2 linked regions of the Caenorhabditis elegans genome follow. The protein of the gene in region 2 purifies or fractionates together with the protein of the main gene of each other region. This does not show direct contact. Each region holds a gene or a part of one and is shown on either strand. Other genes may lie near its edges.

Region 1 (6,605 bases), on a different chromosome or scaffold from region 2:
CAATAATCCATGATTTCCTTAAAATAGCGCAATCAGTGTGACCTTTTGTAAGTAAACACTAAATATCTCAATCTCAGAAAAAGCCATCAAAATTAGTAACTGTTAAAAAAAGTAATCATAAATTAAAAATTGATTATATTAGATTTATGAAACATTAGGAGACGATTCAATGTCATTGCAAATCCTCAGATAATTTTATGAACACTCGATAATTTCATTTAATTGTTGATAACTTTGCTTAAGATGTCAAAAATAACAATGTAGCGTTTTTCAATAGTGAAATCATTATTGCACTATGACAAATTCCATATGGTCGAATCAATTTTAATGACACAATACAATAAATTGTCTTGGACTACTTCAAATCTCGAAAAGAATAAAATAATCTAAGACAACAGACGATTAAATTCTCCTAAACAATCCATTTTCTGAGCATATCTCTAGTCTTCTATGAACTACGAAATTTGCAGACTATTGATTTTCAGAAAAAAAAACTAATTATAAACAAGCGTATCTTTGCTTACATAAACATGGTGTGATTCAATTCGTTCAGTAACATACATACATCAGTTTTAGAAATAGAACAGTGACAGTTCTATTTTAAGAAAATTGCACTTGTTCACATGACATTGCAGCGCAACTTGAGCAACGTGACACGGTTTGTGTTGACCTGAAAACGACAAACTTGCAAATTGAATTGCTTCCTAATAAGATATGAATAACGGTCTTTCAATTGAAACACGCCGAAATAACCAACGGAATGTCCAATGATGCACTGTTCTAACAATATTGCACGTAACGGACCCTCTCCAATTCACGTGCTATTGTACCCACTTAATCGTTCTTTGACGTTGACACGTCAATGAAGAGAGTATACTCGCCTTTTTTCCTCGACCCTTAAAACCCACACAGCGTGTAATAAACGCGTTAGCTGCCATCACATTTCTAAAAATCTGCACGCAAATACCTTTGGAGCCCTCCCTTCCGGGGTACTGTATCAGAAGTAAATTGCAATGAAAACCTTTTTCGCCTGACAATTCAAAAAGTGCATCGATGATTTTTTCGAGAAAATGTGATTGAAAACAGCATACAATAAAATTGGCAACATTTTTCTTATGGGGAAAATTGAAAACTTGAGGAAGACAGTTCAGGAAGGGCACGATAAAAAATTGAAGTGATGCATAACTTTTGCGATGAACAGGGGGCCAAGCTTTGGCTTAACTCGGACGCAGCTTGAATTAAGTCTTTCCAAGTTTTTCACAAACCATGCCAGTTAGATAAAGTTGGGAAACAAATTGGGAAACAAATTCGTAATACTACATTTTAGATATCGACCACTATAACAAAAGAGTTCCAATTATATAAAGAATGTTATTTAATTTTTTACATTGCATGCTTACTCCAATCATACAAAACGAACACGAACACAATATCAAGGTTCGCCCTTTGCCCAGCCAAACCTATGACATTTTTCCTTCTCATTTAATGTACTTTCACCCGGTAAACTATGCTAGACATCAACCGTTATGACGATTACGAAGTCGCATAGTCTACTTGTTCCAGCATGGTTTATCAGCAAACACTGCACATTTTTGGTGTGACCATATTTTATCAATCACATTGTGCACTCTAGAGAGCGGAAATATTACGATGATTTGTGATTTAAGGTTTGAATTTAGGAATGCATTTCACTAGGTATTTTCAAAGAAAAGGGAACATTTTTCTCAATTTTTTGTAATCTTCACTCAATGGGCTACGGGTTCATGTTTAGATATAAACCACTAGTTTTTTGGAATTGTATGTTTAAAGTATTCTCCTAAAACAAAGACGACCAGTATATCCTAACTCATTTAATTGAAAGTTAATTTAGTAAATTATTAAGCTAATGGAAACTGGTAATGGTTTTGTTTCTCCAGAAAAAGCAAATAAGGATATATGTATTTATACCTTGAAAAGTAGAAACACATGAAAATGAAATAAGTTAGATAACTTAAATTGTTGAATATATACATAAATAAAATAATGTTACTTTTTCAATTTAGAGACCAATAGATCGTGCAGCATACTGATGGGTGGAATGCATTGGCGTCCCCAATGCAGATTTCATGTCAGCCAAACGCAACTTTTTCCAATCTGGGTTCGTTCCGAACGCTTGAGCAAGACGAGCAATTTGGACAAGTGATTCTGGAGAGATTCTGAGATGATCGATGGTCACAGAGCGGCCGTCGGAAGAGCACGGAGGAATGTCGCGGGCGGATAGCTGAAATCAGTTTGAAAATAATTTAATTGTTCATTCTACGATTAAAGATTGTCAGGGTAATATTCGAACGTTTTTGACACTCTGAAGCTATTACTTAAGTAGATTTTTCAGGGTAGATTTTTTTTATTAAATTAATTTTTAAAGCAACTAACCGGATTACTGTATCCACTGCTTCCAGTTCCAGACTGAAGGCTTCTGGCCAGCATTTGAAAGTCAGGATCGTTAAAGAGGGTCTGTGCACTTTGTTTTACTTCTAATGGCAAATTATTGAGGGTTGGTTGCTCCGGAACTGGAGCAGGTGCAGCTGTTGATGGAGAAGGATATTGTGAAAGTTGGGGCATCTGAAACGTTTAATTTTTTAATTTTAATTTAACATTCTTCTATTCTCAACAACTTATTTTCATCTCGAATAGTTCTCAGTCAAAAATGAAGCAAGAATTTGAGAATTCAAATACTTCCGTAGGATCACACTCTGCACCGGTTCACAAACAATGCTAAACTATACTAATTGTGAGTGCTGAATGTGTACATGCCTCTAGCAAGAACTATCTTATTATTTTTGTGTTTGTTAATAAAAATATATGCGAATTAAAAAGTAAAATAAAAATAAACTAAACCAACTATTTAAGAATAGGCTATATCTTAATTAACTCTTCTCGAATGCACAAAAATTAGGCACTACGTATTAAGTATAATTTTTTACAATTTGAATGTACAGTAATTTTTCTTGGCACTCACGGCTTGTTGAGGTCCGTATACATATCCGTGGTGAGCCGATAATTGAGGAACCGTCTGTGATGGCTTGATCTCCTGCTGAGCAGGATATTGCTGGGCGGTTTGAGTGTACTGCAAATCATAAAAACTGAAAATAGAAAACTGATATTCATACCTGTTGTTGATTACTTGTTGGGAAGGCCGCAACAAAAGCCAGGTATGAAACTGCTAAAACTGCGAACTTTAACATTGGTGCAATTTTACAGCCAGAAAAAAATTAATATTTGCTGGATATCGTTACTTCTGCGTAGCTAGAAGTCGACTTTGTTGTTCGTTGTGAAAAGTGCTCTGATCTTGCCAGGCGGTTGCCAACCTTTTATATTCGCGCCTGAATACTGGCAAACTTCCTGTTAAGACAAACAACCGCATTTGTTGATTGTTGTTCGGGAGCAAGTGGTCAGAGGCGCTTACCTGTCTTAAGTCGCTTAACAGAAAACAGAACAAGACGGATTTTGTTTGAGTCTGTCCCCTTCGTCTGCCGGTAGGAAACAGTGGTTTGTGGCAATTGAGCAAAAAGTTCAGGGTCTGTTCCTTTCATATTCCACCTGGTGAATGTAGTCTTATGTTGCAAACAATGAGTTTGATAAACGTCATTCTCAATCAGTCCGCAAAATTTCAATTACAATGGTCATTGTTTCACTTGATTATTTGGTTTTTTGATATTTAGCAAATCTCGAACATTCTTGCGATTTTTTATGCGGGACAGATTTAATAGCAAAAATTCAGTAAGCAAAGCAACTAGAAAAAATGAATTTTTGAGAAATAAAATAGAAAACTGAAAATGGATTGCACTAAATATGCATTGAAATTCATATTTTCAAGATGTTGTTGTCGACAATTTAAAAGAGATATGTTTAAATATTTTCAATGAGCATACTCTTCCAATGTTAATTTGCTGTATTATTCTACTGCGTTTCAAATTGTAAATTCACCAGAAGTGTATAACATTTGTCAAAACCAAAGCAGGTAAAATACATTGTACATAATCTGCAAATTTTGTTTTGAAATTGTCAACTACAATTTAAAAAAAACTGTTCATTTTTTTTTTGACACGACGTGAGAAACAATGTACTGGGACAACGAAAAATCTACCAAATATAATTAGACCGGTATTCGCATTAATATGTCGATGAGAAAAACAATTCTTTGAGAAATCGGGAACAGGAAAAGTATGTAGAACTCGTGAAGTGATGTAGTAACATTTACAGTTTTTAAAACATTGTTAAAGAGCATCTAACTAATATCTTTGGAAATGAAGGACAAAAGCATCTGAACCAGAAAATCTACCAGATTTTGAAAATACTACCAGGAGGTGTGGGAATTGAAAAAAAAACGGAGCTATAAAGTCAAAGGTGAAATATGAAAATGCAGTTTATTTAGCTGAGAACTTTGGAAGTTGGACGTTTGTGCATATTGGAGAAGATTCAGATAACTAACATCTTTTTTTGGCAGATGGTTCTCCTGCCTCGGTAGCATTACTGAAATTTATGATTTCTTTATTGATTAATGATAGAAAAGTTGAAAAAATTCTACGGGGCTACTTAAAAATAAAAATAAAAAACTTGTTTACTGGAAAAATACAAAAGGCATACTTTTTGTTTCAAAATCTTTTGAACCAAAATCATCACCAAAACGCGAAGAAAATTGAGAAAAAAGTGTGGGAAATTTTCACAAAGCTTTTGTTTCGAAAAGCTTCACAAATCACAGTTTTTTTGAAGGGACAAAAAATATATCAACATATTTTTCAAGTCTGACCCTTATTGAACTTGAATTAAACAATTTAAAAAACCCCACTTTTCTTTCTTCTCGTCATCTCTGTGTGTATTTTGATTTTGGTCCCGTTTTTTCATTGTTGGCGTCGCCAATTGTGTGGAGAGCCTGAAACTTGAATACTACGTATATGCGCATAATCTGAGGTTTTTGGAACATGATTTCAGAATACTAAGCTTGTCAAGAAGTGCGATTGTTTATACAGGTGTTGGGTTTGATTTTTGAGGTTGATATTCGAAATAGAGTGTTTAAATAAGTTATAGAATGGGGACAATCGATGATTAAAATCCTTTAACCCTGCGTTTGAGTACAATTTTTTTTCGAAACGGAGTCATGCCATGTGTGTTCTATTTTGTTTTTTTAGTAATTTCAACAAGATCACATTTCTACAAAATGGTCTTGCCACGCGCGCTCCTTAAAAGTTGATATTTTTATTTAATGGATACGTTTTTAATGTGTTTTGAAAAATGCAATTTTTAGAAATATGAACTTTGATTTTTTTAAACATGATTTTTCAGAAGTATACATACAAATTATTTTCAAAATGAATGCAAAGTGAGCGGTGCCACTGGTTTTCATAGAAAAACTATTACATACATAAAACGCTTAATTTACAGAATTTACAGTTCAACTGTCGATTTACGCATTTATGTTTTGACACAAATTTTTAAATCTGAAAATGAGACTCACATTGGTCCAGTATACGTCGGAGGGACTTTCAAGTCTGCAGGTGTGTCTAGATTCGATACAAACGGATCGATGTCCATTTCGATAACTGCCTTTTCGCCAAACATTATGCTGCGACGTTGAGAGCTATTCATGATGTGGTGCTCTCTTACTGAGGAAGCATGAAAAATGAGGATGAATATGTAGGGGCAGTTTCCGAAGGAGAAGAGCGGCGAAGGGGAAAAGTTGTTTCTTGAAAAGAAGTATGGATGAATGTATGCGAAATGTAAACGAAGAAAAGGCAAAAAAGGAGGGGGAGTAAAAAAGGAATGAAGCGAAAAAAAATGAAAAAAGGAAGAAGAAAAAGAGAGAAATGAAAAATTCATGTGCTGAACACAGACTGAGCGAAAGATTGAGTAGATCAACTTGGCTGGAAAATTGGTGAAAATTAAGCTGTCACTTGTAAATTGGAAAAAGGGGGCGGTAGTGAACAGACTTTTCAGCTGGGAACAATGTCTTTGGTTTAGAATATTTTGTTTAGTGTTCAACATATTTAGTTTGTGTCTATCAAAACTAAGTAAAATTAGAGATCATCACTGTTGTCAGGATTACTGTAGACTGACTTAAAACTTTTATAACCTTCTTTTCTGAAATATTTAAACGAAATTTTCAGCGTTCTTCCTATAGGTTTTGTCAATTGAAAAACAACAGCCAGCATATCCTGTTTTCTAAATTGGGAAATGTTTTTTGGCTTGCTGTCTTTTTGTGATGTCAAAAAAATTTAATTTTGCACATCTTTAGGAAAATTAGATTTTTGCACTTTTTGGAAAGGTTTCAGATTCAGTAAGTAGACGTTTCTAACTAACAGCTTATTGTCTAAAAATGTAAATATTATAAATTAAGTACGTTTTTTTTTATTGAGCTACGTTACAGTTTTAAATGACGATACCCCATCTTCAACTACTGCTTTACAAGGGAACTCTTGTGAGCAATTGGTTTTGCTAAGAGCACTCAAGTTTTATTACTTTTGGTTAATAGTTCCTTTGACAAAAAGTGTGTTTTTTTTTCAAAAGCAATACCAACTTTTTAATAAATGGTATTCGAAAAACAAAAAAAAACTCTGCTGGTCCACATT
Region 2 (11,084 bases):
ACCAATTGTATTATTTCTTCCTTACAATAAACTTTCTGAATTTCTGAACCGTTGCTCCTCGTTCAAATTAGCATTTTTCCCATATTTCAAAGCTCTCTTTATTCAAATCCAGAAAAAAAAATCAATACAATAAGTCATCAAAATCCTAGTATGTCGTCTCCTTAGCCAGCATACCCTTCTGTTCCTCCTTCGTATACCAACACTTCCAGTTCTGGGGAATCTCAATCTTCTCCGTGAACACTTTCTTCATCTCACTCGGCTTCACCCAACGATACGCTCCACTAATTTGATATCCACTGATCATTGGCTCCATTTCAAGCGCCGAGTAAAGCTCATGTTCAGGCAAAAAGTCCTCGCGCTTCACGTATTGTCTTTTTGGACGTTTCGGATCCCTTGGCTTATCACCTAGACGCAACGGCTTGCGACGAATGGGCTTTCCGTCAAAGTACGGACTTCTCTCATCCCTCTCCTCACTTGCAGTCATCGCTTGATGAAGCCTGTCGGTTTTTCGAAGCTCCCGCATCTCGTGTCGATCACCATCCCGCTGCTTCTGAACATGTTCCACCATATACTCCATTCGGATGAACCGCTCCATCTCATATTCAAAGTACGTGGCCCAGTGACGGGCTTCGAGTTGTAGGTAGTCTTTCTGCTGAGCAATAACAACGTCTTGGTAGGCTTCGAGACGTTCAGGCATACGGACACGTAGCTCGCGGAGGGGCTTGAACCACTGAAAATTTGGCAAGTTTTTTTTTAAGTAAGTTGGAGTTCCCAATCTGGGGTGTCACAGTAATTTATAATGGGATAACTAACTAAAATATGAATCGACAACACAATTTGCTCACTTTTAAAGGTTTTTGTTAAATTTAAAAAAATAATCTAAGCCAGAACCTAATCTTGAGCCTAAGCCTGAGGCTACACCTAAACCTAAGCCTAAGCCTAAACCTAAGCCAAAGATTAAGTCTAGGCCTAGGCCTTAGCCTGAGCCTAAGCCTGAGCGTAAGCCTGAGCTGGAGCCTAAGCCGAAGCATAAGCCTGAGCCTAAGCCTAAGCCTAAGCCTAAACCTCAGCCTAAGCCTAAGCCTAAGCCTAAATCTATGTCCAAGCCTGAACATAAGCCTAAGCCAGAGCCTATACCTAAGCCTAAGCCTATCTAAGCTAAAGTCAAAGCCTAAGCCTAAACCTACATCTCAGCCCAAGCCTAAGCCTAAGCCTAAGCTTGAGTCTAAAATAAACTCACTCTGAACAATAACTCATAATGAACCATCCTCCAAAAGTAGACCTGATTGCAGCAAGTGATCGATTGACGCTTTGAAGCTCTTCCCGACTGACACATGGAATGGATGCTAAGATCATCATCCAGACGAGCCATCACCGCAGCCATCAGTGACAGAATCAGTGTCATCGCTCGTCCACTGCCGTGCTTGCTCATCACCACCACCGGATGATGCAGAGATTCTCGATTCATTCTCTCGCAAATTCTAACGTACGGCTGCCAATTTTCGGGGAGACAATCTTGATCCCATTCGAGCATATGCAGGATCTTCATCTGTTTTGTCTCGATTACCTGGTGATTGCTGGAATATATTGATTAGAAGTGTGGCCATTGGCAGGCAACTCACTGGACTAAGGTGACCTTGACAAGTCTCTGAATCCCTGCCGCCTTGTACTTCTTTTTGACGTCGGTGCACTCGACGATGTACTCTCTGTATGCATTTCGGCGGAATCTCGCTTTTTCTCCTTTGACCAGTGGGAACCACACTTCCGAAGCTTGAAGTCCTTCTGAACAGAAGCTTAACAATCGGAACATCTCAGAAAACTCACTTTCAAGGAACTGATTAAGCATCACCACGTACTTGACATCATTCTCGAACAACCAATGCCACAAGATTCCAACCGTCACATTGTACATCGGCGACGAGGCGCAAATCAACTTGTTCTTGTACTTGTGTGCCACCTTCTCAAACACCTCTTGCCACGGAAACACGTGACACGCGTCATAAAAGTCACAGTCGTCCGGCTGATCCGAGCTCATTCGGACTCGGGCCCAGTCGTGTGTGTAGCGTGGCGAGGAGCAACGATAAAGGTGCTCCCAGCGGTCCTGACAGCACGATTGAATGTAGTTGTCGATTTTGTCGACGGACTCGAACGCGATTTGAGTGATGGCCATCTCTTCGGATGGGTGGTTGCAGTATGACTCCTCAACGTACTTTCTAGCGTTGTCCACTGAAAATTTTTGGTTTTTTTTAGAAATCAAAGGAGTGTGTGGGTTCACTTCAAACGTCTATATCTCGGCGGAGATTCGAGAAATCAAAAAGTTGACAACTGACAAAATATAGCTCGTAATATTTTCAATATTTTATTATTTGACAATTTTTTAATAACTCTTTTCTGAACTGAGCTACAAAGAAGAATATGACACCTAGACACGGTCCCACCACTTCGTTGCTTCTTTAAACTTTAGACGTCTATATCTCAGCGGAGACTCGAGTAATCAAAAAGTTGTTAACTGTCCAAATGTAGCTCGTAAAATTTTCAATAGTTTCTCAGTTGACAACTTTTCAATATGTCTTCTGTCAACAGAGATATATTAGTTTAAAACAAAAAAGTGCGTGGGAGTGTGTTTAAACCCTTATATCTTTGTAGAGATTTGGGCAATCCAAAAATTGGCTCACATTTTAAAATGTCACGTGGTGTTAGGTTGTCCCATTACGGTTTGATCTACGAAAAATGCGGGATTTTTTTTTCTCAAAAAAAAAGTGACGTCAGCATGCGAAATCAGATGAGAAGTCAGAGTCTAATTTCCCGCAATTCTCGTAGATCTACGTAGCCCCGTGCACGGCCACAGCCGGGGTCGATTTACGGCGCGTAGCATGTCGCGTCGCGGCTCGGTTTTCAGTAGAGCACACATTTTCCCACACGTTGTCCAACAGGCGAGTGCCGATGGAGCGCGAAAAACATGAGGGAGGCCAGAAGCCCATTAAATTTTCAGTATTTCTCTTATCCGCGCAATTTTTAGAGCTCTTCTCTGAGCTATAGTCGTTTGAAAACTTACATGGTTTTCTGGATTCCTTCTCCTGATCCACCAACTTCTGATCCAGATTCTGCAATGCCATTTGAATACGGCACATCTCGACACGATTGACACGTTTCATAAGTATTTCATCCACGTTGTGCTCCATGTTTTTATCCCATATCTCCTTTGCAGCCAAGTCGGCCTTGATCTTCATTTTCTTTTCCGCTTCTTCGGATTTATCAGTCTGCTAAAAATGGTAAAAATATCAAGAAAAAAAAGCACTAAATTGAAAAAGATTCTCGAATGCTCACGTCCTCATGTTTCTGATGCTCTCGTCTTGCCATTCGATCAAATTGATCCTCATCTCGATATCCTGCCAAATTGAGTCGATTCTTCAGAGCCCACTTGTACTGGTTCTTCTTCCAAACTTCATGTCGGTTCAGGAATCCCACAGGCTCTGCGAGTTCTTGGTCGCCTTTCCATTCGGATTCTGAAATTTTAATCGGAGATGTTACAGGGGGGAATTAGCGGCCGAGCTTCGGCCCAGGGGTGTGCGGAAAATCTCGGCAAACTCGACAAATTTTCCGCAAATCGCACGTGCGGTTTGATCTACGAAAAATGCGGGAATATTTTTCCAGAAAATTGTGACGTCAGCACGCTCTCAACCATGCGAAATCAGATGAGATGTCTGCGTCTCTTCCCCCCGCATTTTTCAAAGATCAAAGCGAAATGGGACTTTCTGAATCCACGTGAAATCGCTGCTTCAGGAAGAACTACCGCGGGTGATTCTTACCAGACATCGTGACGTCACTTCTCGTCTCGTCCATCCAATCTGTCACATCCGACTGACTCGACAAACTCTGTGAGTTGATGCTTCTTAAATCATCCGACCCGTCGTGAAGATACGGTGGCTTGACGTCACGAAATGGTACCCACATGAGATTCGCCTCCTCTTGACGTGGCAGATCTTTGAGTTTATTGGCTTCGTCAGCCGGTGGAACATCCCAGATTCGACCCAAGTCGTCAATTTTTGTCTCTCCACGTGGACGTTTGGCTGGAATTGGCACCCAGCGAGCCGGTCGAGCTTCAAGGGCAAGGTTTTTGGGTGGACGAGGTGGAGCAGAAGGAGGATCCTTCTCCTTGCTCTTTTTTGTATCCTTTCCGGCTACAAATCGTGGCTCTTCCAGAGAAGTTTCCGATGCACCATAATCTGATTTTTCTTTCAGAACATAACTTCTCCAATAACCAGAATTTTGAATTCTCTGGAAATGTTTCTTTGCAGCTTGTGGTCCTGGAAGAGTCGGCAGTGATGGAACAAGGATCTGACTGGGGAATCCGGTCACAATTTCAGGATCATCTAGGTTCCAGGTGGCGAGATTTTTCTGAAAATAGTTTCAATTTGTAGCGCTTAAAATTTCCTACATTTTGTTAGTTAACAATTTTTCGATAGCTTGCCCCTCCGCAAAGATACACGCGCTTGAAGTTGGAGGCAGTGAAACAGTGTGGGAGGGGGAGAGACGCAGACAGCGCGCACACTGCGTCTCCCTCCCCTCCAAACTCTCTCGTTCTCTATCTTTGCAGGGGTGTATCTCTGCGAGGAAGAGAGCTATCAAAAAACTGTCAACTAGCGAATTGTAGGAAATTTTAAGGGCTATCACTAACTTACCATGAATTTATTGCCTTCGTTGAGAGAAAACGTGGTATCAGTGAAACAGCTTCCGTCCTCCTCGCTCTCGAACTCATTCGCAAAATGTTTGCTCAAATTGAATGGCCTCCCTGTGGCGGTCTTCTCAACAATGGGCCAACGACGTTTGACACGATGACGGGGGTCATCTGAAAAAAAACTTCATATCTTAGTTCGGCGCTGAGATATTGGAAAAGTTTCAAAGAGTAAAATATAGCTCGTGCAATTGCCTACATTTTGTTAGTTGATAACTTTTTGAAAACGCTAATGCCTGCAGAGTTATACTAAATTATATAAATGAATTAAACGAAGAAAATGAAAAGCCCTTGAAATTCTATCCAAATCGGTAGTTGGAAATTTTTCAATGGCTTCAATCCTCGCGGAGATATACGCGTTTGAAGTTAGAGGACGTGAGACAGCGTGGGAGGAGGGGAGGCGCAGAGCGCACGCACGCGCACAATCTCTCATTCTCCCACACTCTCTCTTCCTTCTAACTTTGAGCGCTCGTATCTCTGCGGGGAATAGAGTTATCAAAAAGCTGTCAACTAACGAAATATCGGAAATTTCATCAAAAATTCACAAACCTTCGCGGATCTTGTACACCTCTCCAACATTGGCCAATAAAGTCTCCGAAGAGATCGAGTAGACAGAGCAATCAGTTTCAATTTCCGAGTATTTGAAGTTCGGTGCTTGTTCTGCGTCGAATAAGGGACCCTCCTTGTAACAACGTGATCCAACTTTGGCCTTTGGACTGGGAGCAGTGGGAATGTCGGAGAAGCTCACAAGGGGCGGAGCTTGGAGCAACGGGAGCTGGGCTTCTGGAAAATACTCAATTATTTGGATTATTTCATAAAAACGTCAAAATCTTGGCGGGGAATTCATGTATCAAAAAATTTTCAACTAACAAAATGTAGCTCTTGAAATTCTCTATATTTGCTCAGTTAACAGAGTTTTGATACCTCTTCTCCCCGAGCAGATATATAGCCATTTTGAAGTGAGAGAGGGGAGACGCAGACGAGCGCGCTTCCTGCGTCTCCCCCACCCTAAGCTATTAAACTTTGAGAGCTGATAACTACGCGGCAAACGGGCAGAATATCTAAAATTGTACCTTCATCCTCATCGTTTTCGTAGAAAATGCCACTCTGCCGGCGTTCCAAGTCATCAAAAACCATTTGAATCTCCTGCTCGTCGAGCTCCTCCTCGTCAGGTGACTCATCGTCAGTTTCCAGAAGAACTCTAAGATGCTCCGGGATGTGCCTGACAAAGATACCTGGCTCATTTCCAAGTTTCTTCGACAGAGCTTTGACCCGTCTAGCAATTATCAAACACTCCTCGAATTGAATGGTGCTTGGCATCGCGTGGAGCAGCTCCTCATCCCATCTTGGATGGATTCCGAACTCGGATTTGAGATTTTGAATGTCCTCGTTGATTTTTTTGAAATTTGCGTCTTCAGAAACCTCGAAAGTTGCTTCATTCTTGGAAATAGCCGCTGAAAATTGAAAAATCCTTGCAACTAAAAGAGATATCAAAAAATTATCAACTAGTGAAATATTCTACGTTAAATTCTGCACATTATCTTGGTTGAAAATTTTTTTCTAGCTCTCCTCCCCGCGGAGATATCCTCACTTGAAGTGAGAAGAGCGAGAGAGTGTGGGAGGGGGAGAGACGCAGTGTGTACGCGCCGCCTGCGTCTCTCCTCCTCCCACGCTCTCTCCTTCGCTCAGCTTCAAAGACGTATATCTCCGCTGAGAATGGAGCTATAATTCCAACTAACAAAATGTTGCAAATTTTAAGGCCTACAATTCTGCAGTCTCACCTAAGTGTTTTTCTCCCCCAGTCGATTGCTTTTTGACTTTCAATCTAATCCATTTTCCAGAATTTATCGATTTTTCCACTTCTTCATCAGATGACGCCACAAGGTTATCCGATTTTTCTCGTTTTTTCCGCAATTTTTTGGTTTTTACAGGAGATTTGTGAGCGATCATTTTTCCAGCTTCTGCTCTTTCAGCAACATTTTGGTGTGCTGAAAGATTAATATTCTCAAAGAAAAATCTTCAAAATTGCTGAAATTCCAAATAGAGCGCGCTTGCAACACCACAAATTCAAATTTTTGCCTTATTTTCTGGCGAAAATCGATAAATATCATGTAATTGTCGCTGGAGCGCCCTTGCACACAGTTACTTTTTTAATGATTTCGGCTGTTTTTATTGAGTTGCAAGAAAAATCGATAAAAGTCAATAATCGATTTTTTACCTGAACCCTAAAAATTGTTGAATTCTCAATAGAGCGCACTTCCCTTTCGCTGAAAACTCACAATTTTCCACGTCACCAAGCTGGAATATGGGATTCATTTCGTTTTTGAAAATTTGATATGATGATAAACGAAATTGATATGAGGAATAAATCAAAAATCGATTTTTTTTAACTTTTGGAAAGCAATTTTTTCAAAATAGAAAAAAATAAATTTCACGTTTTTATTCAATTTTTAAGATGACAAAAACAATTATTTTAAAATTTTTCCGTACAAAAATCAATAAACCCATTAATTATCTATAGAGCGCGCTTGCGACACTGCAGAATTTTGAATTTTGCAAGATTTTCTACAAGTTTTCTCGTTATAATCAATAATCAGATATGATATCAGACTAATTTTCACTCAGAAATTCAAAAAAACACCACAAGATTCCTGAAATTGTCGTTAGAGCGCGTTTGCTCCCAAAATATTTTTCTGTCAGTTTTCGATAGAACTTGCTGATTTTTGGCTGTTCTTAACAAGTTTTACAAAAAAGATCAATATTTGAATCGATTTTTACTCGAAAATTACGAGACGACCCTCAACATTGATGAATTCTCAATAGAGCGCACTTTCCTTTCGCCGCAAACTCACAATTTTCCACGTCACCAAGCTGGAATATGGGATCCATTTCGTTTTTGAAAATTTTGATATGATAATAAACGATATTGATATGAGGAATAAATCAAAAATCTATTTTTTTTAACTTTTGGAAAGCAATTTTTTTTCAAAATAAAAAAAAATAAATTTCACGTTTTTATTCAATTTTTAAGATGACAAAAAAAATCATTTTTACAATTTTCCGTATAAAAATCAATAAAGCAATAAATCAATAAATCACATCAATAAATACATAAACATAGAAGATTTCCAGCTTAAACTCGTCCATTTTGCACATTTTTCGACGAATTTGGAGCCATTAGCAGTTTTCCGGCAATGAATAGGCTGCTCACAATTATAAAAAGCCCGATGATCCCGAAAATTACGCTGAAAATCGATTTTTAGACGTCGTGGTGGCCGAGGTGAAAACTAGGCCATCAAGGGGAAAAATGCTTACATAGCCCATGTTTCGAAATGGAAACAGCATTGGAATGGATTGTCGTCACAACAGGAGTAGTAATGGACGAAGGAATCCGTTGGACAGCTGGAAAAAAAACAAGAAAATTCTTAAAAATTTTGAATTCCGCGCGCAATTTTTCGGGAAAAAACTTGAAATTCTCAATGGAGCGCACTTGCACGTGGTGGCAGAGTTCTCAACTCGTCTCACATGCTGACGTCACATTTTTAGGCGAAAACTTCCCGCATTTTTTGTAGATCAAACCTTAATGGGACAGCCTGGCACTTGTGTAGCAGAAAAAATTGAAGTTTTCAGTGGTAATAACTGTTTTAACTAATTATTACTTGGACAATCAACTAATCACTCGATTTCTCGTTAAATTTCTCATTAGAGCGAGTTTGCAACACACATTTCGAAAAAATTGAACTTTTCGAATGAAAATTGCTCGTTTTTGACTAATTTCACTTCACAAATTCGAAAAATGAACGATTTTGAGTCGAAAACTATAAGAAAAGCGTCAAAACTTCAAAATTATCATTAGAGCGCGCTTGCAACGCAGATTCGTTTGAAAATTTTAAATTTCAGAGGTATATTGGCTGATTTTTGCTACTTTAACAGAAATTCAGCATGAAAAATAGGAGTTAAATCGACTTTTAAAGGAAAAATCAATAAATTTGACTGTGAATTTCGAAATTTGGGTTTGTTGCAGGCGCGCTCTAATGAGAATTCGATTAATTTGTATTTTTTAATCGATAGAAAATCGATAAAAATCGAGGTGTCAGAATGTCCCATTTTGGTTTGATCTTCGAAAATGCGGGAGAAGAGAAGGAGACTTTTCAACTGATTTCGCACGGTTAAAAGTGTGCTGACGTCACATTTTCCTCAGGGAAAAAATCCCGCATTTTTTGTAGATCAAACCGCATGTGTGTCTAAAAATATTTAAATTTTGTAGGTTTTACGCTGCAACTGCGCCCTATTGAGAATCCGATTTTTTTGAATTTAGGATGAAAAAACGACAAAAAAACTAACTCCTCGCCAACCGCCATGCCGGGCATCATCATCATCGGATTCATAAACGGACATGACCATACAGAAGGTGTTGAAAGTACACTAACTGGGACGAAAACTAATAAAATCACGGGAATTTTGGACATTTTTCTGGTATAGGAAATACAGAATTGCGCGAATCAGTGCGCGAATCAAAATATTTTTTCGACAAAAGTAAAATCGAGGGCGGGGAAGGATTTGGATGATGACACACACACAGACCGGCAAAGTATTACGCCATTTTTACAAAAAAAAACAGCGAAAAGTGGGGGGCAGTTTCAGTTGATCGACTCTCGCGTCGAAAAATATCCAGTTCAGTTATTTCTGGGTCTCCACACGATTCCACACTTTTTCCTTGACGGGGCGATTATTGTGGTTATATGGCGATTGGATGCGGAAATTACCGGCGTCGGGATTTGTTTGGAAAGTGAAAATTGGAGAAAAAAAGCAGTAAAATTGGGGAATTTTTGATTTTTCAGGCTGTAATTCTTTTTTTCCTGGATTTTTCAAAATTTATATTGAGAAAAATATTTTAAAATCTGCTTTTTCTGTAAAATTTCACTTAAATCTCCAAAAATCTATATTTTTGCACTACCGTATCCCAAAGGCGCGTGCTCTACTCTTTGTGATAGGTCTCGCCACGATATCCATTGTTGGGTCGTAAACTCGGCGAAGAACCTGGAAATTAATTGGAATTTGAAAAAAAAATTTGGAAAAAATTCTGAAACTTGTTTTATCAGATTTTCAATTACTTAAATCTGAAAACTTCCCTCAAAAAGTACGGAAATACTATTTTAAATACCGTAACCCAAAGGCGCATGCATTGATCCCTCAATCGGGTCTCGCCACGACTTTGTCTACCGTACTATTTTTAGCGGATTTTTTTTCACTTTATTTTCACCGGTTTTTCGCGATTTTTCACTCATTTTCCATCGATTTTTCGCGTTTTTTCGCGTTTTTTCACACATTTTTCACACATTTTTCATGAAAAATTCAATTTTCTCCATTATTTTTCTAATTTCAGACATTTTTACAGCGAAAAGTGGACGGAAAAAGCGAAGCGATGGAAGCCCCGCCGATTCCATCACTGATCGCAATGCAACTCGATCGGCCAGCAATCAGTAGGTTTTTAAGAAGCTGAAATTAGAAAAAACGCGAAAAAAACTGGAAAAATCTGCTGAAAACACAAAAATTAGGTGAAAAAATATGTAATTTCCGCATTTTAATTCAAATTTTTTTTAAATTTTCACATTTCTTCTCAGATTTTTCGGCGGAATTTATAACTTGGCCAGTTGCCAACACATTCTGTTCCTCCAAATGACCTCACCCTCTTCGGACCGTCTGATTCTCTGCTCTCTCCGATTATTCCAACGCATTTTCGAAGATCTCTCGTCGGTGTGCTCTCGTCGTCTGATTCTCTGCATTTCCCAGTGTATTTCACGTGTGTCCAACTCGACCCTACCGACCGCGGCAGCCCGTTCGCTTTTTTCTCCTCGAAGTCTTCCCATCGGCAGACCCACATGGTTTTTTTCGACACGTTTTGCGTGGTTTTCAGCGCCAAAAACTGTAATTTGGCGGGGGAAGCTGCTAAAAACTCACAAAAACGTTTTTTTTAGACCTAAAATAGGCTAAAATCCATGCTTTTAGTGATTTTTTGCCCTAGAAAAAGCCAATTTTTCAGTTTTTTCTCGAAATATACGAGAAAACGCTGAAAATTTTATAGAATTTTCGAATTTTGCTGTAATTTACGCGGAATTTTTACATTTTTCTACCGGAAATTGAAGTTTTCCAGCAAAATTCAACGCTTTACTGACTTTTCACAGAAAAATCCCATAAATTCCCAAAATCAACGAAACTTTTCCATTTTTTCGTAAAAAATGCCAAATTTACTCGAAATTTTCTGCAAAAAAGTGATTTTTCTTGTGGAAATCAAGCTTTTCAGCGAGAAATTCAGATTTTCACTGTTCTCGGACTGAAAAATCGTAAA

What was found. The genes of interacting proteins can lie anywhere in the genome.
Region 1: the proteins of R10F2.6 (region 2) and C49F8.15 fractionate together in Caenorhabditis elegans (co-fractionation; one large-scale study listed by BioGRID). This does not show direct contact.

Annotation. Positions count from the first base shown.
Region 1 is NC_003284.9:13,359,274-13,365,878, forward strand, and holds C49F8.15 (uncharacterized protein), read right to left. Parts: upstream 3,314-6,605; 5' UTR 3,225-3,313; coding exon 3,150-3,224; intron 3,107-3,149; coding exon 2,999-3,106; intron 2,602-2,998; coding exon 2,413-2,601; intron 2,261-2,412; coding exon 2,039-2,260; 3' UTR 1,928-2,038; downstream 1-1,927. Other genes in the region: C49F8.1 (Miff domain-containing protein), read right to left, coding at 4,467-4,512, 4,829-4,912, 5,495-5,625.
Region 2 is NC_003281.10:2,936,958-2,948,041, forward strand, and holds R10F2.6 (Tyrosine-protein phosphatase domain-containing protein), read right to left. Parts: upstream 7,139-11,084; 5' UTR 7,052-7,138; coding exon 7,015-7,051; intron 6,724-7,014; coding exon 6,517-6,723; intron 6,190-6,516; coding exon 5,809-6,189; intron 5,519-5,808; coding exon 5,285-5,518; intron 4,850-5,284; coding exon 4,683-4,849; intron 4,399-4,682; coding exon 3,810-4,398; intron 3,507-3,809; coding exon 3,328-3,506; intron 3,264-3,327; coding exon 3,056-3,263; intron 2,227-3,055; coding exon 1,825-2,226; intron 1,783-1,824; coding exon 1,623-1,782; intron 1,578-1,622; coding exon 1,241-1,577; intron 731-1,240; coding exon 146-730; 3' UTR 83-145; downstream 1-82. Other genes in the region: H05C05.4 (DUF2650 domain-containing protein), read right to left, coding at 7,869-7,980, 8,051-8,137, 9,080-9,204; H05C05.1 (RRM domain-containing protein), read left to right, coding at 10,161-10,218.